Linked DNA regions of Schizosaccharomyces pombe. Changing the gene in region 3 together with the main gene of any one other region gives a genetic interaction. Each region holds a gene or a part of one and is shown on either strand. Other genes may lie near its edges. The genes, in order: ypa1, top2, pds5 and alp31.

Region 1 (6,923 bases), 2.9 Mb from region 3:
CAGTATAATGTGCATATCGATCGGCCACTATTACGCATTCCTACTCTCGCAATTCACTTAGATCCGTCTGCCAATTCTTCTTTTTCATTCAATATGGAAACAGAATTTGTTCCGCTTATTGGATTGGAAAATGAACTTGCGAAGGAAGAAACCTCTGATAATGGTGACAAATATCACCATCCTGTTTTGCTTTCTTTACTTGCGAATGAAATATCTAAATCATTAGAGACAACTATAGATCCTTCCAAAATTGTGGATTTTGAGTTGATTCTAGGTGATGCTGAAAAGGCTCGCCTTGGCGGAATTCACGAAGAGTTTGTATTCTCACCTCGTCTCGATAACCTTGGAATGACATTTTGCGCATCTCAAGCTTTAACTAAATCATTGGAAAATAACTCCCTTGATAATGAAAGTTGCGTTAGAGTTGTTCCCTCCTTTGACCACGAGGAAATCGGTTCCGTGTCAGCTCAAGGTGCTGAAAGCACGTTTTTACCAGCTGTTCTCCAAAGAATATGCGAGCTGGGGAAAGAAAGTTCTTTGTTTTCAATTTCCATGGTAAAAAGTTTTCTAGTTTCTGCTGACATGGCTCATGCCATGCATCCCAATTACTCATCTCGCTATGAAAATTCGAATACCCCATTTTTGAACAAAGGAACTGTAATTAAAGTTAATGCGAATCAGCGTTATACGACTAATTCCGCAGGCATAGTCCTTTTAAAGAAAGTAGCTCAACTCGCCGATGTGCCAATTCAGTCATTCGTGGTGCGAAATGATTCTCCTTGTGGAAGCACTATTGGTCCCAAACTTGCTGCCATGACAGGAATGCGTACACTCGATTTAGGAAATCCTATGCTTTCTATGCACTCTTGCCGTGAAATGTGTGGCTCCAAGGACTTTGAGTATGCAGTCGTCTTATTCTCTTCATTTTTTCAAAACTTTGCAAATTTGGAAGAAAAAATCATTATTGATGAATAGTTTACCAAGTTTGTTTATGTCTTACACCTCATGATACTATGGGTTCATAAGAACGCCATGAAATTTACCGAACTCGTATCTGTTGGCCGTGCTATGAGTAGTACTAGTTGCCTCTCTTATAGTTATGAAAATGATATCCACATGACAATTATAATCATAACCCCATGATTTGCTATAGCAAGGTATAAAGTTAAACATGACTAGCAAGTCTTTCAACGAAAGCATGTGTGTATCAAAAGTAATTGATTTAGATAAAAATTCATAAGAGGAAATTCTGATTATAAGTATACCGAACACATCCTGCTTTCTTTAATTTTTTTATGAAAAAAGAATGATAGGTTCAAAAATAGATTATACCTATATAATATACAATAGTAAAACCCACTGCTAAATTAAACGAAAGAAAAGATTAAATAAAAAAGAGACAATTGGAATAATAGGTTACGACATCATCTTGCTATGCTTCAATTCGATAGCTCGTTTATAAGGAGGAGCGGTTGGAGGTTGTATAACGTCTAAGGTAGCCTTTTTCATATTTATTTCAACGGGATAAGTAGCGTCCGCATCATAACCATCAAGGTCACCACATGCAATAAATGGTGCAATCTCATGAGCATTGGTTGGATCGATTACACATAAAGGTTTTGTTAAATCGGGTTGAAAATTAGAAGGGGGGTTAAAATCTTCACAAACGACAAAGGACTCGATAGAGCTAGCACGAGAGCTTCTTGGTTTAGCACAAGAAACTTTTCGAAACATCAAACGAAGCTGAGAGTATAACAGTGAAACATCTCGTCCACGAAAAATTTTTGCAACAAATTTCCCACCAGGCTTTAAAACACAAACCGCTAAATTAAATGCAGCTAACAATATCTGTGCTTGAATATATTCATCTAGGTCGTGCAAACCAGTAACATCTGGGGCACCATCACTAACTACGAGATCAGCCGGTTCATTACCAAAGTGAGACAAAATAATTGAAAGGGTGTTGGGATGAGTAATGTCTAATTGCAGGGTGCATACCCCATCGATTGGTGCCATGGGTTGAAGATCAACAGCAACAATCATAGGTTTCTCATCTGCGGCAATGGAAGTATCAATGTTTTTGAGTAACTCACGAGACAAAACTTGAGACCAAGACCCCGGTGCAGCACATAAGTCTACAACTCTTTTTGCTCCTTCAAATAAATTGAACTGTTCGTTTAATTGGAGCAATTTGAAAGCTGAGCGGGCTCTCCACCCTTGTTCCTTCGCCAGACGATAATAGGCATCTCTCTAAAAAAGTGTAAAGTTAGTATTTTAACAAAATAAATAGTTAAATAATTATTTAGCAATAAAAAAAAAATGAAATAATAAACTAAAATGTTTCTATATGCGACTGAGAAACATTAAAGTTTACACATTAATATACGATATAACTTCGATAAAATTAACGTAAACTTTTCGCTACAAAGTTAAGTATTTACAAGGTTTCAGTAACGCACGAGACATACCTTATCTTTGCTGCTTCTCCCCATTTGTTTTTCAGTTTGGTAAAAACTGGTTGAAATTATTATATTCGTTTCTTGCATCGATTGTATTGAATAAACATATCGTTAAATATTGATTAGGAGATAATTATTTCGGTAGCGTATTGTTATGAAGTGGTTCGAATTAACATATGGATACATCACTATAAAGATTTTAGGATATAATCACATCCATAGTACTAATTATCGTTAAACTAATCTTAATCAAGTTATTGAATAAGCTAAATGCTTCTTCTCGAATACTGCTATTATACTCTATCTTGATGAAAGCAATATCAAGCTGTTTTTAAATGCTGTTATAGTTGCTGTTATATTCTTTAACTTGGTCCTGGTTTTTTTTAATAAAGAGTCGTTCATCAAAGCCTGTAACTTAGTGAGTGTCGTAAATCTATTGGCGTATACGCGAACTTGATTGATTCATTGTTTATTGCTTTACAATGCAAGTCGTAGATGAGAAAACAATACTAGAGCTTGAAAATGAAAGGTTTGATGAAAGTTCACAGTTTAAAACTCCCGAAAAACTAATCGTGGAGGCGAGCGATATGACGGCGTTTCGACAATCGAAAGCATATTATCGAATTTTTGATTTTTTACAGCGTCTCAATATTGCATCTGTGGGTGTGAACGATTATCATGTGGAATACTCAACAAGAGTTGAAAAGTTAGTACGAATATTGTGTAGAGTTAAAGAAATTACTAAAACTGTACCACCTGCATCAGGTCGGCATCGGTTTGGTAATCCTGCTTTTCGAATATGGCACGAAAAGCTACGTGACTCCGCCTCTCAAATTATGGACATCATTATTCCTGATTCATTGAGTAAGGCAAAAGTGGAGTTACTGGACTATTTTTTGGGATCGTTTGGTAATTCTCAAAGAATTGACTTTGGTACGGGTCATGAGTTAAATTTTTTGGGTTTTATTAAGGGCTTGGACTTGCTGGGACTTTTAGATGCCGCAGATTATAAAGCTATCGCCTTGTACATAACCCATGTTTACTTGGAAGTTTGTCGTGAGCTCGTTCAAACTTATCGCTTAGAGCCTGCTGGCTCACATGGAGTTTGGGGGCTTGATGATCATTTTTTTATTCCTTATATTTTTGGTTCTGCCCAACTTGCTGATAAGGCATCATCTTCCATCATAAAGCCTGATGCTATACTTAACAAAAAAATAGTGGATGAAAAAGCTAATAGCAACTTGTATTTTAGTGCTATCAAGTTTATAAACGTGATGAAAAAGGGCCCATTTTACGAACATTCCCCAATATTGTATGATATAACCGCTGTTCCTATATGGTCAAAGGTCAATCAGGTATGTTAAGAAGTGTGTATTTATTAAGCTAATTACTTTCAAGGGATTGATAAAAATGTACGATGTGGAAGTGCTGAGCAAATATCCTGTTGTTCAACACTTTCATTTTGGAAATCTCTTTCCGTTTAACCCTTTAGTTGCAAAGTAGTTTAACTTTAATCTTTCGTGCAATTTCAAAAACAAATAGTCACTGTTATTAATGTTATGTTTTATTTATTGTATCTTTTATGGTTGCTGATAAGCTATTTTATAGGGGCCAAAAGGAAGGAAAGCCCGCAAATTTACTGAAAAAATTTTTAATAAACCAAATTATCGCAAGAATAGCATTACTGTTATTGCATTATATTTTTTATAAGTAATACTGTTTCTAATACATTTAAATTTATTTACTCATTAAAAAGCTATCAAGGTTATTTACCAGTACCTTCTCTACAGACTTTAAGTCAGTAAAAACTCCTTGGTCTTTAAAACTGGTAGTGTTTTTTCCATATAATCCGCAACCCACAATGTAATTGAAATACTTAAGATCCGTACTAACATTGAGCGCAAGACCATGACTAGTAATATTTCGGCGTAAATGAATACCAATTGCTGCAATTTTATCGTTTTCTGTTACCCACACACCGGTGTTTTTTGTTGTATGAGCTTTTTCGATGCCAAAGCTTTTACATGTTGCTATAATCGCTTGCTCTAGCCTTGACACATATTCACGTGGACTTAATCCAAAGGACTTCAAATCAATAATAGGATATGCAAGTATTTGACCAGGACCATGAAATGTAGTTTGCCCACCACGCAATGCTTTAACAACTTTAGCCTTAGGGAAGCCTTTGGTAAAATTAATTGAAGATTCCCTTCTTCCCAGTGTATACACTGGACAAACTTGAGAAGTGATAATCGTTGGCTTCGGTGGCTGTTCAACCTTATTTGCTTTATAATTTAAATAATGTTGAACAAATCGATTTTGTAACGCTCCAACCCTCTCATAGCTCACGAGAGGATTTTTTTTGGTGATAAAAGAAATATGCTGGATTTTATTCATTCAATACACTTAACTCTGATTTATGCTGATAATAAAAAGAATATTATAAAAGAGTGTAAAAATGTAAAAAGAGGAAAAGAATCTATGAATTCGGCTTAACCGGAGCGAGCATCTAAAGCCGTAGAGCAGGTGCAATTATTTAACGACAGTTGCTAGGAGGATGGCTTGAATGTATACTCTTGCAGGTTTTCTCCAATTGATCAATCTAAAAGAATCAAAAAAAATAGAACATATTAAAATTCAGTTTTTACATTTCTGAGTTATTAGCTGAATACATAAGAATATATCTAAACTGTTTCAATCACCCGTGTTTAAACGATTATAACTTGTAAAATTTAAAGGCAAAGCAATTTTTTTATTCTTTTGAACTTAAATAACATTAAGGTTACTAAAACAAAGAAGAACACAACAGCGGCTACTGTTCAAACTAAGTCCAGATTTTAGTTTAAACATTTTAATAAGCGCCCATGTTGTTTAAAACTGCATGCTAGTCATTTTGGCTTGCTTCATAATCCAGCAGGACAGAGAATGGTACTCCTTCGCTGATTCTAATAATAGTCTATATGAATTGATTAAAATTAAGTTTTATAATTATTCACCTTAATTGTAAAGAGCACTGATGATGCTATATTATCTGTGGGGCGTATACGGTGAAATTACTCTTCACCACATCGGTAAAAAATTGTATATTTTGCTGGTTATGCTATAATTGGGCATAATAACACAAAACTTACTATTATAGAAATTTCATTTGGTTTTTTTGGATTTTAGTGGGTTATACTCAGGGTTTGCATAATTTTTTAAATGGTTTTTACGTCTCACAAAGGCGTCAAAAGAAAAAGTCATCACTCTCAATTAAGTGTCGATGATGTTCCAAAAAAGATACCTCTATTTAAGAAAAAAATATCACAGGCATTGAAAAAGGCATCTACCTTTGAACGGCAAAAGCTTGTACGAAGAATTAAAAATTGTAGAGCCAGTGAAGATGCTGATACTCTTGGCCGTTTTGAGGCAGAATTTGAATTTGCCAAACAATTTGACTTCACCAAATTTGTTGATTATTGCTATTATAAAAAAATCCTTAAAAACAAGGATTTTCGGAAGTTACTGAACGAAAATCTTCATGTTGATTTTCCTGCAGATTTGACTGAGGATGCTCAGAGAAATACCGTTGCTAGAATTTTAAATTCCAAGCAATTATCTGATGCCATTCGAAACATCAACTCAATACTCGAAAAGTATCTTCGTTTCTTAAACCCCGATTTACAAGAGTTGTCAGATAAAAAGGCTGTGTCTTCTACCCAAAAACCCATTAAGACCATCGGAAAAGTAGATTTGTCAAACAAATCAACTTCTAATCAAGACCAAGTGGATAATACCCATGTTCAAAATAGCACCGATGGCGTTAATCAAGATACTGGTATGATTTTGGATAATACTGAGGACAAAGAAATCAACAAGTCTATGTCATATTCTATGAAAAATGAAGGTGTAAAAGAATCATCTCTTCAAAATGCTACTTTAATAAACAGGAAGTCTATAATTGATGATGAGATGTTGGAAATTCCTCTGGGCAAACATAACAATACTAATCTGCCTGCCCTTACAGCGGGCTTCTTAGATCCAGTCGAAAGTGATGATGAATTTGTCGAAAAGGAGTTAGAAGAAGTAGATATCCCGAAGCGTAAAAATCGTCGTGGTCAAAGAGCTAGACAAGCTATTTGGGAAAAAAAGTATGGTAAAGGTGCTAACCATTTGATAAAAAAAGCGACTGAAGAAAGGAGTATTCGTGAAGAAAGACAGAGAAAGTATGAAGAAAGGCAAGCTAAACGTGCTGCTCGTGAAAATGCTTTTACGGAGCACCAAACACCTCAAAAACCAGAGCAACTGCATCCCTCTTGGGAGGCTAAAAGGAAACAAAAAATGCCTTCTAGTGCAGCATTCCAGGGTAAAAAAATAGTTTTTGACTAATCTTAAACATTCCAATTTATAAAATAGTAGTGCTTTTTTTCGATATTCAGGAAGTAAGAAACATCCTCTTTTTTTCAAAACAATGGTAAAACATCA
Region 2 (8,611 bases), on a different chromosome or scaffold from region 3:
ACAATTAATCAATAAAAATTAGGTCAAATCAAATCATATGAATTTATTCTACATTAAACCCTATTACAAAATTTTTTCAAGTTCTTCAACAACAGCCTTAGTAATATCAGCGGTAGAAGCCTCACCTCCCAAATCGCGAGTATAAAGACCACGTCCACCAATTGAAGTATCATCCAAGACCTTGCGTACGGCGGCTTCGATAGCTTCAGCCTCCTTAGGAGCATTCAAACCATAACGAAGGAGAAGGGAAGCAGATAAAATTGTACCAACAGGATTAACAATGCCCTTGCCAGCGATATCGGGAGCGCTACCGTGAATGGGCTCAACCAAACAATGAACCTTTTCTTCTGATTTTCCTACCACACCGGAAAGGGAGGCAGAAGGCAAAAGGCCCAAGCTACCAGGAATGACAGAAGCCTCATCTGAAATAATGTCACCAAACAAGTTGTCAGTCAAAACAACACCGTTAAGTGTACGAGGGCTCTTGACCAAAAGCATGGCTGCGGAGTCAATGAGCTGGTTTTTTAAGGTAAGGTGAGGATATTCCTCCTTAAAAATCTTAGCTACAGTCTTGCGCCAAAGACGAGAAGTTGCCAAAACATTAGCTTTGTCGAGTAATGTGACGGGAGCAGGAGGGTTGGAAGTTTCAGCTAACCAAGCAGCCAAACGAGCAATACGAGAAACTTCTTCCAAACTGTAAGGCCAAGTGTCCATAGCATAACCCGATCCGTTGTCCTCAGTGCGCTCACCAAAGTAACAACCTCCAGTAAGTTCTCGTACAACACAAAAATCGACACCTTCAACGATTTCAGGCTTCAAAGGGCTGTACTTGACTAAAGACTTGCTGGCAAAGTTGCAAGGTCGAAGGTTGGCCCAAACACCCATACTCTTACGAAGCTTCAATAAACCTTGCTCAGGACGACAATTGGGGTTGGTCCATTCAGGACCACCAACGGCACCCAAAAGAACACCGTCAGCTTCCAAACAAGCCTTCACAGTCTCGTCAGTCAAAGGGGTTCCATAGGCATCAATAGAGGCACCTCCAATCTTGTGTTCTTCAAACTCGAGTTTTAACTCAGGTCGCTTCTTCTCAACGACTTTCAAAACCTCCAAGGCAGAAGCAACAATTTCAGGGCCAATATGGTCTCCTGGTAAGACGACGATTTTCTTTGCACACATGTTGTTGAAGAAGTTTTGTTGTGAAATGGTTTCGTGAAAGTTTCAGACCCTACCGCAAAAATGCCTGGTTTCGGGAAACTCAACACTGTTGCACTTTTTATACTACAGATTGGGATATCGATAATATTGCGTAAAAAATCCTTTTTTTAAAAAGCTTGTTTACAGTAACGTAAATGACCAGAAATCAGATGAAAATCACAAGAAAGCAAATAATTCACGTTAAATCCTGATATGTTTGATTTTGTGATGAAATCATGGATGTTCATAGGAATTGTTGAAATTGCGCTTTTTTAACGAAATATACAAGTATCCTGGAGCTTACTTAATTAATTAATGAATCTTTGTTTCTAGATATTAAAATAGTAGCCTCAATTATCAGCGCTTTCTACGTTAGTAAACGAAATTTTTAATGTCAAAAAAATGTTTAATAGACAGTACGAATATGCATTATAATGTTCATAAATAATTTGAGTATGTGTACGAGTTGTCTTTAAACCCACAGAGGTAGAATGTATATATAAAATTAATAAGCTAAGTGTAATACTTAAAAAATACATTAATTGGAACTCGTATCCTACCATTTACAATGTTCATCCAATTTTTTCAGATTGTACTGTAAATAGCGTTTGAAAACACCAAATTTTAGAAGCTAATCACTCTCATCATAATCGTCTACATCCTCATCGTTATCGACGATAAAAGAATCATCTTGCATGCTGGGTTCATCCATGCTATCAAACGAGGGATCAACGTAAATAGGTGTTTTCACTGTAGCCGCTGCTCTTCTGGTTGGCCTCTTTCTAATCGGAGAATCTGAATCTTCTGGTGGCTCTGCGTTAGTCGAACTAGCTTTTGGAGTTGAACTACTACCTGGAATAATAAAATCATCATCGTCATCTTCAGGTGATTGTTTCTTTACCGAGCTTGCTTTTTTCCCTTTATTCTTCGCAGAAGCCTTCGTGGATGTTATGGTGGAAGGTTTCAAACTGCTAGGCAACAAATCATCTTCATCGTCTGAAGAAAATATGGTAGTAGCAACTGGTTTATTAGTCTTTCTTCCTCTTCCAGACGCCGAGGCTGCTATTTTTTTGACGGGTTTTTTACTACCTGCGTCTTCAGAGTCAACAGATTGACTTCTTTTTCTTGATTTTCCACTATCACTGCTATCCAATCCCGGGCTCTTAGATATGCGATTTTCTTCAACTGATAAGCCATGAGAGTTATCCTCTGTCTTGACAATGTTTATGTCAGATGATTTCTCAGGTTCTTTCGACGCTGCGAACTCAAGTAAAGTTTGTTGCTTTCGATTTGTTGTAGATGGTTTGGATTCGCTGCTAGCTTCTTTTTTAACAGCAGTACTTGAGGAGGATCCGGCAATAGCCCTGGGTTTCCTAGTACCAGTGGATTTACCTCGAGGCTTCTTTTTCGTTCGATTTACAAAATCTCTAGAGGATTGCTCTTCTTCTAACATTTCTCTCTGAATATCATCCATAACCTTATTCCAAGCATGCTCAAATGCATCCAAATCATGAAGCCACAATTCTTTAGGAGTTTTTTTAATCAAAGCATCCAGTTCGGCCATTACTTCGTCCTTTTTCTTGAGAAGTTCCACATACCGTTCATAGGTCAAAGACCATAAAGGCATTGAAAGAAGGTAATTGTAGGCATCTGAATCCTCGTCTTGCGAAACATCACCAGATTGTTCTTCTTCAGCAAGAGCATTTTCAACTTCTAAATCAACCAAATGCCCTTTCTTTGGTTTACTGATAGGTTGAAACTTCTTTTCCTTCAGCTCCACAATGAGATCCTTTTTCTTCTTTTTTGAAACTACAAGCTCCCCCTCTATAATCATATGAATAAACCGCGCTTGATTTGAAAATCTATCAAACCTTTTTTCCAATTCATTAACCATATGCTCTTTACGTCTCTGGTATGTCCTTAAACGTACTTCGTAAAACTCGGTCAAAATATCTTCAACACTGTCATACTTCTTGATCCGTCCAGATGCATCAAAAGCAATCATATTACTCGTTGCTTGAGTACGCGACAGTTTAAACTTAACTTCCAAGGATTCATTTAATGCTTCTTTCATGCCAGCTTCGGTAAGCGTGACATTAAAGTGAACATTTCCTTCACCGTGATGGCTTTCATAGTCCACGATGAATTTACGAATTTTTTCCGTACCAACAAGACCAGCCTCCAGATACTCCTTCATATCCTGAGTCCAAAATCGTATAGGCAATTCAGTAATTTCTACTTTGTTTTCACCAATTTGGTTAATTATACCAGATATTTTGTACCTGTCAGGCGCAACTTTCGTTATACTTCCACGAAAGCCGCGGTACCAGGGAGTCATAATTTCCAAAGGCTCGCCATTAAGCATATGTCTTAAATTAGCAGTTATATCCTTAGGGTTATAATTAGGAATAAAAGTAGACCAGCCAGTACCAATACCTTCGGCTCCATTGACAAGTACCATGGGAAGAATTGGCACATAATACTCTGGTTCAATCCACTGGCCTTCGTCGTTTTGGTAATTAAGAAGCTGGTCATCATTGGAATTAAATAAAACACGTGCTAAGGGTGATAAAGCTGTATTTAGATACCTTGAAGCCGATGCATTTTTTCCACCCTCAGATCGTGTACCGAATTGTCCATTAGGCATCAGCAAATTAATGTTGTTACTGCCAACAAAATTTTGGGCAAGATTAACTATAGTTTGCTCCATCGAAACCTCGCCATGGTGGTATGCAGTTTCACTAGCAACATAGCCGGCAAGTCTACTGACTTTAGTTTCATGGACGAGATTGCGTTTAAAACAATAATAGACAACTTTACGCTGACCAGGCTTCAAGCCATCTACTACTGAAGGAATCGAACGGATATTATCAGCCATACTGAATTGGATAAGCTCTCGATTAATGAAGTCATCAATCGGAATCTGAGGTTGAGTATAATCCATATATATACCAGGTCGATACGTTCTAAGCCATTCCTTACGCACATCGGCCTTTTTCTTGGCAAATGCCATTTCAATTAATTCAGCATCCTTCTCCTGCATGGCATGAAAGTACTTCATGTGACGATCAAGGTCTGAAAAATAACTTTTCATATCGTCATGGTCACTTGTTCCCAAACCCTTGTAGTATTTAATTTTCCAACCACGTCCATTGTTATTAGCTTCCTTCCAGTATTCGTACTCGGGTAAAGTGTAAAATGCTTGAACCTGATTGCCACGAGTGCACTTAATGATAGGTGTGATAAATTGGATCAAGAATCCAGGAATTTGCAAAAGAGAAGGATACGAGGATTCTAAATAATTAATAATTAAACCTTTAATATGTGATCCATCATGATCTTGATCTGTCATAATCATTAAATGACCATAACGAAGACCTTTCACATCGGTATAAGTTTTTTTATGAGTGAATCCCATGATTTTCTTGATAGCTTGAATTTCTTTGTTATTTAGGATTTGGGAATGAGAAGCCTCCCGTACATTCAGTAGTTTTCCTCTTAACGGAAAAACTCCATAATAGTCTCTACCAACAACACTGAGACCCGAAACAGCTAAAGATTTAGCAGAATCTCCCTCAGTGAGGATAAGGACACACTTATGGGATTCTTTGGTACCCGCTTTATTTGCGTCTTCGAGTTTGGTTAAACCCGTTATACGAGAACGCAAACCCCCATCGCCCTTACTGAGTTGCTGATCTGCCTTAGCGGTAGCAAATTTTAAAACCTCCTCCACTACAGAAGATTTTTTGATAGCTTTTAAAAATTTATCACTTAATGTGCATTGAGAGCCAAAAGCAGAAACTTTCGTGGTGAGAGTCTCCTTTGTTTGGGAATCAAAGGATGGGTTCTCTATTTGACAATTGACAAATACCTGTACGTAATTTTTTATTTGAAACGCTTTAACGGGTGCCTTTTTATTCTCCTTCTTGACGACTTCATCTATAGCATCGACAATTTTATTGGCAACATAATTAACATGTGTACCTCCACGAATGGTAGAAATATTGTTAACAAACGAAACCTGCTTAAACTGTCCATCTGAAACAGCAAAGGCCACGTCCCAACGGTCATTAACATGTTCATAAATTACCCTAGGAGGCTCTTCATCAGGTTTAGTGTCAGAAGCAAGATACATCTCCACATATTTCTTAAATCCACTTATACTGATGCGTTCATTGTTCAGGTAAACTTTAGTTTCACGAACGGTACCTGCCATATCATAAATACGGCGTTTTATAATAGATACCATATCATCATCAATCTTGTCCATACCAAATTTTGCTAAATCGGGTTTGAATGTAATTTTTGTGTATTCATCGGGTTTCTTGAGAGAAGTGATCACTGGCTCAGACTTTCTGGACATATTGTCATACCAAGTTTGTTTATATTTCTTCATCCTTTCCTTATCAGCTGTCTCAACGACAAATTCAGTAGAAAAAATATTGCAAAGTTTTGCGCCGTAACCATTTCTTCCTCCTGTTACCTTCTTTTGATTATCGTCGTAATTGCTTGAAGTAAGCAAGTTACCAAAAATAAGCTCGGGGATGTAAATTTTCTCTTTATCATGAATCTCTATAGGAATGCCCTTGCCATTGTTATAAATTGATATGACATTTGCTTCAGGATCCAAAGTCACCTTTAGGGTATTCATGTTTGGGTCGCGAACTTTGTTGTCAGCAGCATTGACAATTATTTCGTCAAATATCTTGTAAAGGCCTGGAACATAGGTCACTGCTTTGTAATCCAGCTTGTTCTTCTCAGAGTCAAAGACCCACATTTCAGAAGTCGTTGGCTCAATACTGCCAATGTATGTATCCGGACGTCTTAGCACATGCTCTCTCGGTGTAAGACGCTGGTACTGTGTAGATACATTAGAATTTCCATTTCCGTTGTTGGTAACTAGTGGTATCTGTTCAGAAGCTGTCATGGATGTCAAGCTAGTTTGCCTTAAGTCAGGAGTGCTTGCCTTCTTGGCGCGAGACTTTGAGGATGTTGTAGATGCTTTCTAAAAAAGTTGTTAGTATTTTAAAATAATAATAAATTCCACAAACACTTGCATACCCTTTTGGTGGTTGTGTTAGGTAAAACGTTTTCGTCTCCAGACGCTTCATCTTCATAGTCGGAGAAATCCGCATCAATGGACATAGTTTGTAAAATTAAGTTGGAAATATGTAGTAAATCAAAGGTTATTCCAACGTGTAAACGTTATTATTAAAAAATCAATGGATATAATAATGACACGCTTTAAGCAACGTCAAATAACAAAATTAAGATATGTAAGAAGAGAAAATGATATTTGCCCTTAGTATACGATATTAAAAAACGAATGGAGAAGTGACCTGAAAAAAAAGTAATGGATAAAAAAGAAGGTAGAACGAATGAATACCAAATATAATGTTTTTTGTTAATTTGGATTAATTTTTTGGTTTAAAAAAGTATTAAATAGATATTCAAGCGTTTATATCACCACAGACTGATTCACGTATGTAGAAAGTCGGTCAAAGCAAACGCGTGACGAAAAACTAATAGTATGATGGAAACTTCAGAGATTGTATGTATGATAGTACTAATTTAAATAGTTTGTTTAAAAGCTCTAAAGGGCTATGTGTTCAACTATCCCAACAATGATTGAAGTTGGTAGCTGGTGAAGGATAGGAAGAGAGAACAGAACATAAGTAGATAGAAGTTGCAACCGAGGAATTGATTACTACGGAAAAAGAAAAAGAAAATTATTTTTAAGAATAAATAGCAAAAGAAAGGATTTCTAAATTTCCGTGCGTTATTAATATAGGGATGCGCTTAAAACATAATTGAAGTCTGTAAAAAAACCGTATTTGGAACATATGCTGTAACTAATTTGTAAAGCAAATGTAATAATTAATTAATTGTATAATAAAGAATGTTTGTGCTTTGAAATTAAAATTGAAATTCTTGGTGCTATTTTATATAGTATGGAATAAACAAAGGATTTTGAAAATGGAAAATGAATGTTTAGATAAATCCATAATTCATGAGTATGCTCGCAAAGATTGTAAAAGAATTGAGTGACCTATTACAGTTGGTCATTTGAAAGAAAAACGCTAAACACGATAAAAAGAGATGAACGGAAAGCAATGATGGAAACAGAAACTGCTTTTTTAAATTCTTCTTGATTGTACCATCAGCATTAATCCATATTATTTCGATTAAGCTGTTCTTGAAACATTGTTGTATGTAACTATCATTAAGTTCAAACAATTTAATAGTAATTTTGTGAATATAGCTTCTCCCTCTATTTAACAATTGCAGGTATGAAACAGGAACAAAAACATAGAAAGAACTCTCAAACAACAGACTCATCTAATAAATGCAATAAACTTTTTTCTGAAAATCTTAAAAGAAGCTGCAAATGTAACAAAAAATGGTAGGCCCAGCAGATAGCTGATGCATGGGTTTAAGTATTTCCATTATTTATCGATGTTGCCAACCAATTCCCATTAATGGACGAAAAATAGTGTGAAGTCGATTGTTTAATAAGGAGAGTTACAAAATGGAAGCGCAAGACAAACGCATATTCGGAGTCACTCTTTCAAGGTATAAGCAAGCATTGGATAGCCAAAACGAAATGTGTAGGATCTGAGCAAGAAAAATGCTTTTTGAAGTATCTCAGACAGCTGCTCATAAGTCAGTAAGCGATAAATTATTTAATGGAAGAAAAGAGTGGATCAATAGATCGGCGGCTTCTTTCATTGGATATTCGCACAAAATGTTAATTGACCTAAATTTGAGCCATCTAACATAACCATCACTTCCCTAATTTCCTGTGTATAATAGTCCAAAAAAACGGAATCGGACATCGCGAACATATTCCGCTCGATCAGAGCAGATCAAAAGGTTGATTCTTCAGTGTCCCACATTATAAGGCTATTTCTCGCTTACCAAGGAACACATCAGACCTCCTGAACTTATCCTCCACCAACGTCCTCTTCATTTTAAAATTCATTTTATTGAAAAAAAATCATATTTCTAGCTATCTTGCACCTCTATTTGGCCTTTGCTTATCCCCGGATCCACGTTGGATATTTGCTCGCCTATCGAATAGTATATTAAAAAAAGTTCGCTTGAGAAAAAAATTATTTGTCAAAGTCGAAAGTGGAAAGACGTTTTTAAAAGAAGTATTTTGTGGCAAAGAAGTCAATATCTAAGAAGAAAAAAAGTTTCGGTTGATCTGTAACTAAAATCAGCGTCAAAATAGCATCACCAATACGTCCGAGTGAGAAGCATCAAGGTTCCTCAAAATCAAGAAAAACTTTACCAATATTACTTCTATTGTTTTATCTAGCATTAAAAATAATTTCATTTAAATACAATCCTAGAGCGGGATTGTTGAAAAGAAACCCAACCTAATCTTAGTTTATTTGAATTTGCTCAGCTA
Region 3 (9,671 bases):
TTTCGTCTCTTCATTCAACACTCTCAATTTGGTTGAATAATCTATTGGGATCGAACTAAAAATCGCGTCGGATTCCAAATCTTTCGCTTTGTAAATCTGTTTTCATTGCTTACGCTACATTTACTATTGTTTTTTAATTGCTTTGTTCCTTTTTTTTTCTTTGCACCTTAACTTTTATTTTTGGCTTTCTACCACTTTAAATGTGTAAATAGGTTTTTCCTCTTCCTTTTCTTTTTTATAATCACCTATCTCTTCCTTCTCACTATTTTTTTTGTATCGTGTTGTGAACTGGAATACGTGTATCTTCCCATCTTTCTTTCTCTTAAAAAAAATTGGTCATATATCACATTTTTGTTCCTTGACCATTTTCCTCTCTTGCTTAATCCGAAAACGACTATTTAAAAATAAGCAATATATTTAAATATCTGGTTATTATTAGGTTTCGTTTTATACTTCAAAATATTTATTTAGTTTGATTCTTGATCCCACTGCCTTCTGAATCTTTATTTATTGCTTTTCTTCAAAGCTATGAACGCTCAACCCTTTCATAACAACACTTCAGATGTGCAATCCTTTCAGGACATTATAAGCAATTCCTATCAAAAACCTTTGAGCTTAGTTGACAGTACTGATCGTGCACTACCGGATTCTTCTCTTTCAAGCTTATCACGATCTACCTTTCAATTTCACAAGCATCACCTTTCTGGCAATGAGAATCCTCAGCCCTCTTCCGAAAGCCCCTACTTCACTAACAATGAACGTTTGAATTCCTCTAGTTTCCCTCAAATCCATGATAATCAATTATCTCCATCTTTTAACACTTCTTATCAAGCCATTCCTTCCTCCTCCTCTAATCGATCCCGTGGTGGTCCTTACACCCCAAGCATTCGAGATGACTCTCTTCTAGCTTTACTCAGTTTCTCCTCGAATCATCGTCTGCATTCTATGCCCTCTCAACTTCAGCCTTTTAATAATGCATCATCATACACTACTCCAATGGCCCCTTTTACGGCATCCTTTTCTAACAAGGTTTCTCATTCTGCTTACCCCACAAGGAGGCTACCTAGTCAGGCAAAAAAAACATCGGCAATAGAGAGAGTTCCGGTCAATCTCAATTTCCTACAGTCGGACAACTTGGTTGTGCAGTCATCGCCGCAAACGAATTTTGAAAACTTTGAGTTTCCGAAAAAGATTCCATCAAAAGAAGATTTGGAAACTCGTGAAGTGTTATTACTCCCTCCGCAAACGTCTAAACTCTCAAACAAAAATTTGGACACCAAAAGTTTTACCGATGTTAACAAAATTTCCCAACAAGGATTTGTGGAAATCAGTTCAAATTCTTCAAAAGTTACCCCCAATACAAGCTTGCATCAATCCTTTGGCATAGCAAGCTCCTCTTCCAATAATTATATGCAGACATCGTCTGAACTTACCTCTTCTACCGAGAAGATGAATGGATCGCATCCTTTGCAATTGTCGAATAAGTCATTATTGTCGATCCATCTTATGCAGTCTAAAAACCAAGGTCATGTTTCGATGACAGGTTCAGATAAACTCTCTTCTCATGTACAGTCCGAAACCGAGAATGCTCCTGTAAGTAAACCAAGTAAACCAAATACTTTGACTGAAGATGAAAAACCTTTACAGTCTACGAAGCTCCCTGGAAATTCTCTTACTGTTGGTGAATTATACCAAGAACCCAAAAGTATCCAGCTGCCCGAATTGTCTGTTTCACGGACTACTTATTCGGCTCAATCCTCTTCTGTCAAAAATTGCAACGAACGCATTCCCTCTGCTAAAGCTCTAAAAAAGCAAAAGCATTTAGTTCCGGAAAACAAATCAAAATTGCAATATGTATGGCAGAAAAAAGAAAGCCTCCCTTATGCTAACCTTACTTCCGCAAGTAATACGCACTTTTTTCTGTCGGAAAACCAGAACGACACTTCTGAACGGTTGACCCGTACTTTGAGAAAAAGCACAAAAAACTATACGTTTGGCTCTTATATATTGGGAAGGACAATCGGTACCGGCGAGTTTGGAAAGGTTAAACTTGGCTGGCCTTTACCAAAAGCCAATTCTACTATTCACCGCTCAACACCGCAAGTTGTAATTAAAATAGTTTTGTCTACGAAGCAAAACTGTCAAACAAGCCGATTGATGCGAGAGGTGGCCATTTTAAAAGGTTTGGGTAATAATCACCCCCATATTGTAAAATATTTGGATTTTGTAAAAACTAAACATCATTTTGGTATAGTACTAGACTATGTTAATGGTGGTGAACTTTTTGATTATATACTGGCGCGCCGAAGACTTGAAGATTCGGTTGCTTGCCGACTGTTCGCACAATTAATAAGTGGTGTTGCCTATTTACATTCTCGAGGAGTGGTACATAGAGATCTGAAGTTGGAGAATATATTGCTAGATACTAATCGAAATATCGTAATTGCGGATTTCGGCTTTGCGACTACTTTTGGGCACTTTAATACTCTCAGTGAACACTCATTGCCCACGGAAAAGCCAGATTTATTTAGTACATCATGTGGATCGCCTTGTTATGCGGCCCCTGAATTAGTGAATTGCAAGTCTGGAATGTATGCTGGCACACAAGCAGATATTTGGAGTTGCGGTGTCATTTTATATGCAATGTTGGCTGGGTATCTACCATTTGACGATGATCCACACAATCCAAATGGAGAAAATGTCCCTCGACTCTATCGGTATATTTGCAGTACTCCTTTAATATTTCCGGAGTTCTTTAAAAGCAAAGCTCGCGACATTCTTAAAAAAATTTTAGTTCCTGATCCAGCAAAACGTGTCCGAATGTCAGCAATTATGAATCACGCATATCTCCGGTCTCATGTGTCTCTATTTGAAACGTATAACGATGATGAAGCGACCTCACTGCGTCCGTCTCCCATCCGTTTGCTTTCTCAAAAATCTTTAGCTAGTGTTTCTTCAGTTTCGTCAATCAGCACTTACTCTTCTTCCATTGAATTGACTCCTCAGATCACAAAAACTTCATTAAATCGAGAAAAACCGGCATTACATGGCAGCATCAATCTTAAACACTCAACGAGGCCGGTTGTACCAATTGCAGATGGTATCTATGCTTCTACTACTCTTCATCCAATCGATAATGCTAAAAACCGCTTGGTTTCTTTACTGCGCCGTCCCAAGCATAAGGTTAAGCATGCCAAAGTTGAAACACGTGAATCTCCTATGAAAAATAAGCCAACTAAGAAACAACACAAGCGTGCATTTAGCATGTTTGAGAGGCCCACTTCTCAGAAAGCCCCATTGTCACCAGTAGAAAGCAAGATTAACCTTATGGTTGCTCCTAAACGTGTATTAAATTGTGCTTCAGATTCTTTAAGAGCTTTATTAGCAGGAAAGACGGATAAATCTTTTTGGGGTTCACGTATACCATTCTTGTTTAATAAATTGAAATCCAAACAGAAGGCTGTATCCAGCTCCTTCAATACGGAAAACTCATTTTTAATTCTTCAAGCAGTTTCGCCTTTAACTTTTGGAGGTTGTTTCAAAGAAGAAAACGCGTATGGGCAGAAGAAGCAGCACATGAGACACGCTACCGTTTTTTAATGTTTGCGTTACGATATTGTATATCTCAACAATGCATGATAATTATCAAACTGCCTGTTTCCTATATTAGTTTTTTAAAAAGATGGCTCTTCGACTTTTTCTTAAGAAAAGCGGTTTATATGGTTATCAATTATTAAAGCTTGAATTGATTGTTTGACAATGTTGAACAATGGGTTTCCTAAAAAAAGACGCTTTAGCTGATTTTTATCGTTTATCAGCGTGTATATTACTTGCCTTGTACTTTACAGTTTCCGCTTTTCATCTTTATTCTAACTTTTTATTTTAATTTTTAATTTTTTGGTACAAGCACCTTTCGTTCTTTAAACTACTTTTAAACTATTAAATTTCTTTCACTCATATGTCCTTATATCTAATTCACTCGTTAATAATATTTTATCATTACCCTTGAGTTATACTTATTAGTAAATAGTGTAATATTTTAATTACAATAAATGGAACGCGTTCTTTTACGCGTCTCTTCTTTAAGCAAGTACATTGCGAGTCTAACACGAACGTAATAAAGAGTTGAGCACCACATTTTGAAATCGCATCTTTCAAGCTTCAATATTGCGAAGTACTAATTAATAAAATCAGCCTATGGCTCTTATGGATATAGAGCATTGAAAGTTTACTGCATTTGTCATTTATTTGTTAAATACCCAAGGTGAATAGTACAAAAGCGTGCAAAAGCCAACTTTTGCGATGATAAAGTTACAGTTTCAAAGAAACATTGTCCCAACACATGACAATCCGTTAACGACTTCCGAGATTTTAAAACGACTACGTGATTTACTAGGAGAGCTTACTAGCCTATCCCAAGATACTATCGACCGTGACTCAGTATTGCCAGTAGCACGATCATTAGTAAATAACAATTTGCTCCATCACAAAGATAAAGGGATACGCTCTTATACACTTTGTTGTATTGTTGAATTGCTTCGTTTATGTGCCCCCGATGCGCCCTTCACTTTATCACAATTGGAAGATATTTTCCAAGTAATTCTCAAAATTCTTAGTGGTCTTATGAATCAAGAATCTACTTATTATCCACAAATTTACGAGATATTAGAGAGTTTGTCGAACGTTAAATCTGCAGTTCTAATAGTTGATCTCCCGAATGCTGAAGAATTCTTAGTAAATATCTTTCGTCTCTTCTTTGATTTAGCGAGAAAGGGTACTACCAAGAATGTCGAGTTTTACATGCTTGATATTATTAACCAGTTGATCAATGAGATTAACACCATTCCTGCTGCTGCCTTGAACATACTATTTGCTCAACTAATATCAGGAAAGGGCGTAAGGCAAACAATTGGCTCTTCCGATTCTACTAATCACGGTCCAGCTTTTCAACTAGCGAGAAATATTTTTCATGACTCAGCAGATCGACTACAAAGATATGTTTGCCAGTATTTCTCAGATATTATATTCGATTCAAGAGATTCGCTTTCTGACTCCATGACTACTCCAGAATTTATATTCTCGCACAATTTAGTTTTACAATTATGGAAATATGCACCAACCACGTTATTGAACATTATTCCACAATTCGAAAATGAATTGCAAGCTGAACAAACTAGTGTGCGACTTGTGGCGATAGAAACTGTTGGTTTGATGCTCCAAGACAACGCCATATGGTCCGATTATCCTAGGGTATGGAGTGCATTTTGTGGTCGGCTCAATGATAAATCAGTTGCATGTCGTATCAAATGCATTGAAGTTGCTTCCAACGCTCTTCAGAATTCATTGGCTACTTCTGAGATAATTGAAAACGTAGTTCAAATGCTTCAATCAAAGTTGGCCGACACGGATGAAAAGGTGCGGGTTGCTACTCTTAAAACGATCGAACAGTTGACTTTCGAAACCTTTAAAATGCAATTTTCAGTACAGGCTTTGAAACTCATGGGTGACCGTTTACGTGATCGTAAACTCAATGTTCGTTTACAAGCAATTCGGACACTAAGTCAAATTTATAATAGAGCATATCAAGACCTTATAGATGGTGTGGAATACTCAATACAGATGTTCAGCTGGATCCCTTCATCTCTTTTGGAAGTATTTTATGTTAATGATGAAACAACTAATGCGGCTGTTGAAATTTGTATGGCTGAACTGGTCCTACAATACCTTAGTTCTGATACGCAAACAAGGTTAAACAGGCTTTTCCTTTCAATAAAGTATTTTAGTGAAAAAGCGATGCGAGTTTTTATTCTACTTTTACAAAGACAAGTTAAGTATTCGGAACTCTTAAATTACTACATTGAGTGCTGCAAAAATTACAATGGAGGTGTTATGGATAATGATGAAGAGTCAATTACCAACAAGCTTAAGAAGGTGATTGATATCATATCATCAAAAAGTTCTAATCCTACATTAACAGAAGCCACTTTCAGAAAATTTGCGGAACTTAATGATCGTCAAAGCTACAAAATGCTTTTACAAACGTTTTCCATTAAAAGTGAATATCAAGTTGTTTTAAAAAGCATAAAATATTTATTTAAAAGGGTTTCTGAAACGTTGAGTACCGCAAGTCTTGAATGTTTTAGAATATTCGTTTACCGTTCAGCTCTGTTTGCTTTTAATAAAAGCAACGTGCATGAAATAATTCAATTATTAAATGAACCTGTAAAATACCACAATTTCCTTAAGCCGTCGGAGGCTCTTTTACAGCATTTACCGCTAATTCATCCCAACATATATGGAGAGGTTGTTATAGAAGTTGAAAATATTATAGTTTCTTCGGGCATTGAATCGGATCCTAAAGTAATTAAAGCTCTTTCCCAATTCTCCAAAAGAAAAAAAAATTTTTCTATACAAACAACAACTGCTGAAATACTACGAAAGTTGTGTCTACATGGAACACAGGAACAAGCCAAACAGGCAGCGACGATTATCGCTATAACGGAGACGAAAGAATTCAAACTCGATATGATAACGAATATCGTGGAAAATTTGGAGTATAATGGAGGACTTCCTGTACGGCTTATGACTTTAGGACAACTATTTCTATACACTTTAGAAGAGGTAGAGAAGGTTGCTGACCAAGTTACAGAATTTTTAGTAAAAAAAGTTATACAGCGCTTTCCTGAAAAATATGATGATACGCATAATGATGAGGAATGGTGTACTTACGAAAAATTAGATAATCTTACCATGTGCAAAGTTTTAGCAATTAGGGTTTTGGTTAATCGACTGAGGGCGGCGGCAGGAGGAACCGAAGCGTTAAATATTGGAGCTCCTATCATTAAGCTATTGAAAGTATTGTTAATGGCTGACGGTGAATTAAGTCCGTTCAAGAATACTCCCAAAATTTCTCGTGCTTATTTACGTCTCACTGCTAGCAAATATTTTTTAAAGTTATGTTCCATTCCTTTTTATGCGGAACATATAGATTTTAGTTCTTACGTTCAAATCTCCTTATTATGCCAAGATGAAAATTTTGACGTGAGAAATTTATTTTTGACGAAGCTTCAGAAGCAGCTGCAACTTAAAAAGTTGCCAATTAGTTATTATCCTTTATTGTTCCTGACTGCTGTTGATCCGGAAGAGGAGATCAAGACTAAAGCGTCTATATGGATACGTTCTCAGGTTGCTTTTTTCCAGAAAACCCATGATTTTACCATGGAATATGTAGCAACATATCTTATCCATCTTCTCTCTCACCATCCAGACATATCTTCGATAGAATCAGAGAACTCGCTTGATTTTATTGCATACATTCGCTTTTACGTTGACACTGTTGTTAATAGTGAGAACGTCCCAATCGTTTTTCATCTAATGCAACGCATAAAACAAAGCTATGATGTTATTGAAGATGGAAACAATTACATTTATGTGCTAAGCGACATGGCTCAGAAAATATTGCAGGTGAAATCCCAGAACTTTGGATGGAGTTTGACTACGTATCCAAAGCAAATTAAATTACCTTACGAAATTTTAAGACCAATTCCCTCTATAGATGAGAAAAAGAGAATTTTCAATAAAATCTTCATAACGCCTAAAATGGAAAGTCAGATTGAACATGCTATAAGGACACCAGTCTCATCTTTTGCGAAACAGACTACCAATAAGCACGCAAATTTGAAGCAAAAGAAGACTCATAGCTCAAAGAGCGATAAAAAATCGTCTAGAAGAAGGAAAAACGAAAAAAGGAGAAAGCTAAATGAGCAGAATCCTAATATTAGGAACGTGCCAGAACGAAGTAGCTCAAGATTTCAAGGGATTCGTATAAATTATTCGGAAGCACCGTCTTCAAGTGAGGAGATAAGCGAAGAAGAGGAGGAAATTAGCGAAGAAGATTTTGATGAAATAGAGGATTTATAAAAAAGGCTTATTTGGATGCGAAATACCGATACTAGAACACTTACCCAATATTACCAATGAATTTTCAATGTTAATTAGATAAATTGCTATCTTTTTTGTTAAACAATCTATGCTTGCTAATTGCCTAAACTTTTGAAAGATGACTCCATCACATACATGCCTCCATAACTTCTGCATCTATTAATTTTTTTCATTCCTAGTAATATAATAATAAAAGTTGCATTTTTGAGTTTTTTTACGCTTTACAATTCGTAAAATCTAATAGTGAGATTGGATTAGCCGCTGTAGTATATCTTAATAAAGCATGGCTGGGCGAACTAATTACGGTGACCGCACAATATATTTACCTACAACCAACACCGGTGTTTGATACTTAGGGGTTTGAACTTTCTAGGAATTCAATAAAGTGAAGCAAAGCTTTACGATTAATTATTTTTTGTGAAATAGTATGCCCACCATTAAGTGTGTCGTAGTAGGAGACGGTGCTGTAGGAAAGGTGAGTTGATGTTTACGGAAGGTGAAGTTAAGCAATGCATAAAAAAATACAAGAATTGCTATCATCTAAAATGAAGTTTCTTTTGTCTATACATTCCCCTTTATTTCTTTCTTTCCAAAAATTGTTCTTTTGAGTTTTACACATACTGACCGTTTGAATGTAGACCTGTCTGCTTATTTCCTATACTACAAACAAGTTTCCTAGTGACTATGTGCCAACTGTATTCGATAATGTAAGTATAATTAGTTGTTTATGGAATGAAGTACTTGGTGAAGTTTTGTCCCCATATTAGAAATTTTTTACTATTCAAATGTTCGGTCACGGAAAATTTTGATATAAGGCTTTTTGTCAAAAAAAGGCTGAAGGATTAAACAATGACTCAATGTATTTATCGATTTTATCTCAGAAACTATTGAAAGTTTAATAATTTTTTTTTATCCGATGCTTTTTTTTTTCCACACTAGATCTAAAGACCGTAGGAAGCCTTATCTCGTAAGGAATAAGATGAGGCGACCACTTTCTTTCCCAGGAAGATTTGGTCGTTATTATTTCTGCTATTTGCTATATTGGGGACTATTCTAACTTTCTTGTTGCTTTTACTCCCGTTTTTAATTGATATAGCTGATTTTCATTTTATAGTAAAGATTTACTGACTAAAATAGTATGCTGTCACTGTCATGATCGGTGATGAACCATACACTCTTGGTTTATTCGATACCGCTGGTCAGGAGGATTATGATCGCTTGCGTCCTTTATCCTATCCTCAAACAGACGTCTTTTTGGTTTGTTTTAGTGTAACTTCTCCTGCCAGTTTTGAAAATGTGAAAGAAAAGTGGTTTCCCGAAGTTCATCATCATTGTCCGGGCGTCCCGTGCTTAATTGTTGGTACCCAAATTGATTTACGTGATGACCCTTCTGTGCAACAGAAACTAGCTCGCCAGCATCAGCATCCCCTTACACATGAGCAAGGTGAACGATTAGCTCGTGAGTTGGGTGCTGTCAAGTATGTTGAGTGTTCCGCTTTGACCCAAAAAGGGTTAAAGAATGTTTTTGATGAAGCTATTGTAGCCGCTCTTGATCCTCCTGTTCCTCACAAGAAAAAGTCAAAGTGTTTGGTACTGTAATTTAACCCCTGGTTTTCTTTCCTTTTCCGAAATTTCCTTAATACAGCTAGTTTACAACAGTAAACAATGTCTTAGCTTTCTTTAACGATCCCTCATATTTGCAAAGATATTTGCTATTTGTTGTTTTCATC
Region 4 (6,649 bases), 1.5 Mb from region 3:
TGAGAGTGGTTTTACCTTTAAGAGAAAACATAGAAGTCATTATGAGATATATGAAAAAAACCGAACGATGTAATAATTATTAAGAAAAAAAAAACCCCACAAAAATATTTTAGCGAACAAAAAGTGGTAGTAAAATTTATGAACACCGGTTTAATAGCTTTTGATTAGATGAAAAGCAAAAATTTTTTTCCGAAAGATTTTTAATAGTAAGAGAAGGCACTCTTGGCAACCAGAAAGAAAAATTGCTTTGTGGCAATGGACCCAAGGCTTTTATACAAAAAATTTCCTCTTTTTGACACACAGAAAGAGCAGTCCTAAATAGTGTTGTTGGAAAAAATATATGTGTAAATAAACGATTTGCAAAGGAGGAAAAAAATAGCGCAAATAGACAAAACGGTCGTTTTACTCGAGTGACACTAGTAGATCCATCAAACCGATAATATCGGGTATTGTGATGGCTGAGTGGAAAGTTTGAATGAATAACTGCGAGAAACTAGGCTACACACATAGGAGTCAAAATAGTGTAACCCGCAAAATATAGAAATCCAATTCATAAATGTGAGAATGACAATTCATTTATTATAAATTGGAAACTCATTTCATCTTTTCTTTTTTTTTCGTGAAATACTACGAGTTTCTCTTAAATCCGGGGAGAAAGTACGGATAAAATCCCATGATTAAGAAGGGGAGCGTCGGACGACAAAGGTAGCTTAAATTAACAAATGGCCAAGTGATTTTGGCCATTTGGGGTATGATTTCGCTTCTCTCGATCAAGATGCAAGCGATTAAAGAACTGGACTCGGAAGAGGAACCAAAAGTTGGCGAGTTCTATAAGGGCAACACAATTTCGTTTTGCAAAAATTCGCTTGAAAATGATACTCAATTACCTCAAATTCTCTTCTGCATTAATCCTAAATCCATCCGAAATTTTCTTTTTCCACCCATAGCAATATCAGATCCGAAAGAAGCTCAAAATCACTGTTCGTCTTACTATTATATTAAGTACCGGTATTATATTGTACAGTCAAGATGCGGGATGATGGGAAGAATGTCTTTTTAAATATTATCTAAAAAAGGTAATAGTTACATGTTAATAACTATATATATATATTTCCAGACTATACTAGTAAAGTAACGGTTGAAAAAATGTGTAAGTAGAAGAACTATTAAACTTAATTGCGTTCAGTAGTTTCTGCATGGTTTTTAACTAAAACCATGTTCGATATTGTTAACTATTAAATATACTTATTCAAAAAAAAAGAACACCAGATTCTCCTGTCACGCATCTAGGTTTCCAGTTTTTCATCTGTTCCCTCATTAACGTTCTACCAGTTGCCCGCATTGTTCCAGAAGATCAACCCAAATCTGAACGAGATGCAATAGCCTGGAGACTACCAGAGTCTTCATTTTACCCGACCGAGATCGTTTCCATGGTCGGAATCGAACACTGGAATACTTGAGACTTGGCGAAAAATGAGTATTATACAAGGGAAGAAAAGAAGAAGAAAATAAAAGGATAATTTATGTTTTACGGCAATAAAATAATGAATTAATAAGCAAGAAGTATTAAAATGGACTTTACCACTAATGAGGTTCTGTTTAGTAGGTTAGTAGTCTGTAAAAATTTGACAAGAAAAAATTTTCCGTTTCTTCAATTGAAGGGGAGCTCCATTTTAAGATTTGAATGGTCTGAAGAAATGTATAGATTGTATATATGGTTGTTACCGTACCGAAAAGACTATAATGAAAAGTTTAAGGGAATTCTAATAAATCCTTCTATTTTTCTTCTTGGCTGTCATCATGTTCAAATATGCAGTTTTCCGAACAACCTTGTATTTTTCATGGGAAAATGCGATTTGTTTCGTTTTTGTTAGCTTTGTTTGAATACCATTTTTTAACTTATGCGATACTTTCTAAACGGAGTTCACTTTTTAAATTAATCTATATCAACTGAGCCGTTCAATTCAATCCCTTTTTTTATATCAGCTTGTAAACAAACGTTTCAGGAAATGAGAAAGTTCAAAAAGCGTTAAACAGTGAATGCTTGTATGTTGAGCTTTGACTTGTTTGCAAATGTTTAATTGTCGAAATTCATCATCTGTATCTGTCCAAAGTTGTGAACTGACAAGATAGAGATTAATTTGTTAGATCACGCAAAGTACGATATGTTTAAAATGCTTATACCAGGTTGCAGTCTTTGTTTTTCATAGCTTTGCAAAAAAAAAAGTGGATTAAAATACTAATGACTACTAGGGTTCGAAAGGTTGCTGTTCGATTATGAAAAAGCGTTCACTCTTTTATCTCCCAAGCGATGATTTGAATTTTTGATGCATCTGTGGCGTAGAATATGATCAATCATTTTAGAAAACAGAATAATATTCAAGGATCCATTTAAAGTCCTATATAGAGTAAAGGATTTTAGCTATTATCCTCACATTGAAGACTGGTCCCATTATACCGAAGTCTGTTGACATTAATATCGTTGTACCGGCTTTTTGAGTAGACTAAATATCTTGTACAGGATCTACTTTGAAAGAGGGTATTAGGTCCTTTTTTTATTTTTTGTTTTCCAAGGATTAAGATAGAAGCTGAATTTTTTTGGCTAGGCAAAGTTGACTAATTATTAACAGACTGTGGTTCGAGTGATTAGCAATCAACCTATCCTTATATGAAATCGTGCTTTTAACAATTTCGGTTGTTGGGAGATAACTGTGTGTACGGAGAATCAGAAATTTTTGTTTTGGAAAATATTTGTAAAAGCAATTACGTCTAAATATAATGAATTACGCGCTAGAAAATTTTCATATAGCTGAATCCCGAAAAGCTCAACCTCCCATATGATTGAGCATCCATAAAAGCATGAAATTTTTGGTACAAGTATCGGTGAATCGTAAATTTAGAAATAACTGAGCAATTTTATCTCATACATAATATAGGAATGAAACGTTTGTCGATCAATAACTAGTCTGATACTTGATGCAAACATTTAATCAAATACCCTTTTTTAGGAATTTAAGGAAAGGGCTTTAAAAGAAATTGAAAACTTAACTAGAACTAGCTTTTCTTAATCGTTTCTCGTAACTTATCACCACACGCTAACATTAGCATTCCTTTGTATTCCAACGTTACCTACACTGCAGTCAAGGAAAATCATCCAACCTAACATTATTCCTTTGCATATCGCGTCCATTTTATTTTCTACCATGTCAAATACTGTTAGGAGCTTAGTCATCAAAACTAATGTCGTTAAAAGAATTATTAAAGATGTAGAAGTAAGTTTCCTTTTTGGATCGCGATTTTGTAGATGGAATTTTCTGACCTCAACAATTGTTTAGTTGGCTCATATCGATATTAACGAGGCCGAGAAACGTGTACAAAGTAAAATTGATAATGGGGAAGATTCTGCAGAAATTGAGCATCAGGTATGTTGCATTAGTTGAAACCATATAAACGTTGGACGTGTTGTGCTAGAAGATGTTTCTACCAAGCTGAAGATACTTTTCGGTGGTTTCCGCTTTAGCGTATCTTTTTTAAAATAAAAAATAATCAAAGTACTGACATTCTGGACCTCTAGAAATTTGTTTTGAAGAAGCATCTTGAGGCGTTGCCAGATGCTCTTGTACGTCTTCGTAATGCGACGAACGACTTGGAATCCATTTCTTCTGACAGTGCATACGAAGGAACTCCTGAACTTGAACAAGCAAATGAATATTTAGAAAAAGCAAAAGAAGTAATTGAAAAAGAGCAAACGAATTTCCCCACGAATGGGTACCACTGAATACACATTTACTAGCTTTTGTAGATCCCTGCTAAAATTTATTACTGACCCTTCAAAAGACGATCATGAAAAGGTTCTACGTTCATCATTCTTTACCCACCCTTTCAATGCTATCCTACTCAACTGTACTGTGTCTTCGATTTTTATTCCAATCCATTAAAATAATAGACAATCCCAACTACTTAAGGATTATCCAAGTCATGCTTAAATCTTTTTTAAGATTTCGCCAATCTATTCTAATTTTGCCAGTTAGGTGAAACTGTTCACATAAAAAAACATACGTATTCCCCTTTATTCTACTAGAGATTTAAATTTTAGCTGGACAATCAAACAATTTTAAAACAACCAAATGTTCCTGCTAACAAGCAGCATAGACAGTCGTCCTCTAGTATTTATTTGCACTTTTATTGTGAGTGTAATGTAGCGTATCACTATGTTAGATTGTACAGCTCATTGTTTGACGTTACTTACCATCTGAGCAAAGAGAAAGAAACACTTCGCGTGAACATTAAACAGATTGGGAGCATAAAACGTTCCATTTGTATACCTATGGCAAGTCCGCCAATATTATCAAGGGAATCACCTGTGTTGGGTTTAGAAGAAGAGAAGAAATCTGACGGCGGCAACTCTGAAGTAAATATTGACCCTTCTGCATCTTCATCGTTGAAGGAAGATGTAGATGGCGAAGAGGGAGCTGATACAAAAATAGATCCACACCTTCTTGAAGAAGATGATTTAAATCCTGTAGAGGATTACGATTCTAAAAACCAAAAAGTCGTTGAAGCATCTAAACTTGACCTTGACGCTACATCAACTGTTTGGGCGGAGAGTCTTAGTATTAATAGAGAAGCTAGTATTTCCCAATCAGGCATTGTAGACAATGAAATGGAGAAAAAAGTTGAAGAGGAAGAAGAGTTTGACGAATTTGACGATTTTGGTGAATTTGAACATGATATCCCCATCTGTACATTTATGGGTGATTGGCAAGATGATTTCCAAGATGCTGTCAATTCTGTATTTGGACTACCTGAAACTCCGAAAACAATTGAAGAATCCTCCTTGGATCCGGATCGTATATTGTCTCTTTGGCAAAAACTGATTGAAATGCCCGTGCTGCAACGGCCAGATTGGCTGAGGTCTAGCATCAGGCATATTTTTTTAGTTACTATGGGTCTTCCTGTTGATTTGGATGAACTTTTGCCTACTCCTTCTACCCAGGGATCATTCAATTCTTCACGCACAATAGAATTGTCTTCCGTGACGTTGCCAAAATCTGAGGATGAACCATATTTAGATTATTCAGCTGCTCGTCGTTTATGCAGCATAAACAAAGACGCATTAACCCACCGATCTCATGAGTCTTTACAACAGCATATAGAGTTACTAGAATCAACTCTGCAGCAAGCTGTTGAAGTTGCTCGATATTGGACCGATAAAAGGGATTCAGCTCTTAGCGATAAGTTGTTATATGAGACGGTTGTCGATGATTTAGTTCAACATAGCAAACGTTTAAGAAACTCTGGTCGTAAATTCCTTTCTAGAAGGAGCACTTCCTCTCATAAATGATCCCTTTATATCTTTAATTACCGACCTCTTTTCCTGAATTGCTGTTTTCTTGTTTAATTTTACGGGAGTAAAATAAAACGGAAGCGTTTTATTTTTGTTGCTGACGAACCTTTGTTACGTCTAACGTGATTAGATTTGACTTGTGATTCAGCTGTATTGTCTTCTTCGATTCTTTTGCCTCTTCTCTTCTTTTTAATGACTAATATTTTAATGACTCTTCTCTATGTGTTTATCAATATTATGTCAACCACTTGTAAATATAAATGGAACAGTATCCTAACCTAAGCGCCATTCTTGGTTATTTACATAATAGTCCATAATTATCTCTAAAGAAAAGGAGCAAATTTTGATTCACTGTTGGTACTTAAGTTATTCATCGTTAAAAAAACATTAAGAACATTTGTCGACACATTTCTGGCAAATTGATAACAACTTGAATGAACTGTTAAAATTATAAGCAGGAAGTTGAAATTTTATTTTTATTTATACTTATTCGTTAGACTTGCATTTGGAATGCTTTGGATTTACTAGTACCCTTATTCTCTTACAACCTGGACGTTCCTAGTAATATCAAACAATTAATTGACTTATGGAATTAGATGGCTTATCGACTAAAAAAAGCTAAGGCATTTCTTGACTAAAAACGCAAGGAAAGGACTATAAAAATTTGATTGTTACTACAGGTAAATCGAGAACCATCGTATATAGGAGCTGCAAAATTTTGTATATTATTGGTATGTTTGTCAGACGCTAAATGATTCTTACTTGATGGATAGTTTAACCTTTTTTTTTTGAGATTTACATGCAATTCATCTATTGCCTAAATTCACCAGCCATTATTTTGACAAATGCATTAAACTATTTAAGTATAGCGATTGCTTTTATAAAAGGATTTTGGTGCAGTACTAGGAATATGAATACGCGATTGATATTGAGTAATGTTCTGGCACAAGCGTTTTCAGCTGACAGATTTAAGCAGTCTGTTTTATAACTATTCTCAAGTAATACTTTCCCATTGAAAATAAAAAGTTATTTTTGTAATGTGGTTGGATTGTATAGTACGACTCTGCGGTTGAAGAAATGCAGAAAGCATCTTTGGCTAGCAATATAAATAACAAAAAAAAAAAAAAATTAGTCAAGCTAATTTTGTGTTTTATAAACAAAAAAAAAAAACCTTTGGAACAAAATTCTTAGTATACAAATTGCGATAACGTATTGTAATAGCCAGCACTCAATTTGGATTCTTAGTTTCAAGATATACATATATCGCTTGGATTAACGCTAACACCATTTTTTACGATTATT

The links.
Region 1: mutations in pds5 (region 3) and ypa1 together harm fitness more than expected from each alone (negative genetic interaction), as found in Schizosaccharomyces pombe (2 studies listed by BioGRID).
Region 2: mutations in pds5 (region 3) and top2 are lethal when combined (synthetic lethality), as found in Schizosaccharomyces pombe (one study listed by BioGRID).
Region 4: mutations in pds5 (region 3) and alp31 together harm fitness more than expected from each alone (negative genetic interaction), as found in Schizosaccharomyces pombe (2 studies listed by BioGRID).

Annotation. Positions count from the first base shown.
Region 1 is NC_003424.3:4,833,454-4,840,376, forward strand, and holds ypa1 (type 2A protein phosphatase regulator), read left to right. Parts: upstream 1-2,741; 5' UTR 2,742-2,941; coding exon 2,942-3,814; exon of another isoform or gene 3,815-3,857; coding exon 3,858-3,962; 3' UTR 3,963-4,137; downstream 4,138-6,923. Other genes in the region: aspartyl metalloaminopeptidase Ape4, read left to right, coding at 1-975; trm7 (tRNA 2'-O-ribose methyltransferase), read right to left, coding at 1,417-2,250, 2,469-2,492; lip2 (lipoate-protein ligase), read right to left, coding at 4,197-4,856; BUD22 family ribosome small subunit biogenesis protein, read left to right, coding at 5,661-6,827. UniProt on the Schizosaccharomyces pombe protein: PPIases accelerate the folding of proteins. It catalyzes the cis-trans isomerization of proline imidic peptide bonds in oligopeptides.
Region 2 is NC_003423.3:1,974,425-1,983,035, forward strand, and holds top2 (DNA topoisomerase II), read right to left. Parts: upstream 6,844-8,611; 5' UTR 6,343-6,843; coding exon 6,259-6,342; intron 6,233-6,258; exon of another isoform or gene 6,203-6,232; coding exon 1,829-6,202; 3' UTR 1,737-1,828; downstream 1-1,736. Other genes in the region: 3-isopropylmalate dehydrogenase Leu1, read right to left, coding at 64-1,179. UniProt on the Schizosaccharomyces pombe protein: Control of topological states of DNA by transient breakage and subsequent rejoining of DNA strands. Topoisomerase II makes double-strand breaks.
Region 3 is NC_003424.3:1,907,740-1,917,410, forward strand, and holds pds5 (mitotic and meiotic cohesin loader subunit Pds5), read left to right. Parts: upstream 1-4,108; 5' UTR 4,109-4,302; coding exon 4,303-7,920; 3' UTR 7,921-8,158; downstream 8,159-9,671. Other genes in the region: serine/threonine protein kinase Ppk1, read left to right, coding at 529-3,600; Rho family GTPase Cdc42, read left to right, coding at 8,369-8,416, 8,580-8,648, 9,079-9,540. UniProt on the Schizosaccharomyces pombe protein: Required for the establishment and maintenance of sister chromatid cohesion during S phase. Prevents their formation until eso1 is present. May also have a role during meiosis.
Region 4 is NC_003424.3:3,373,945-3,380,593, forward strand, and holds alp31 (tubulin-specific chaperone cofactor A Alp31), read left to right. Parts: upstream 1-3,161; 5' UTR 3,162-3,203; coding exon 3,204-3,272; intron 3,273-3,335; coding exon 3,336-3,422; intron 3,423-3,574; coding exon 3,575-3,778; 3' UTR 3,779-3,956; coding exon of another isoform or gene 3,957-4,014; 3' UTR 4,015-4,059; coding exon of another isoform or gene 4,060-4,077; 3' UTR 4,078-4,124; downstream 4,125-6,649. Other genes in the region: SPOM_SPAC8E11.10 (sorbose reductase), read right to left, coding at 1-40; SPOM_SPAC8E11.12 (uncharacterized protein), read left to right, coding at 752-1,060; SPOM_SPAC8E11.08C (uncharacterized protein), read left to right, coding at 1,572-1,874; SPOM_SPAC8E11.06 (uncharacterized protein), read right to left, coding at 3,957-4,014, 4,060-4,077, 4,125-4,150; SPOM_SPAC8E11.05C (uncharacterized protein), read left to right, coding at 4,328-5,344. UniProt on the Schizosaccharomyces pombe protein: Required for the maintenance of microtubule structures and cell polarity. Beta-tubulin-folding protein; may have a regulatory role in the tubulin-folding pathway.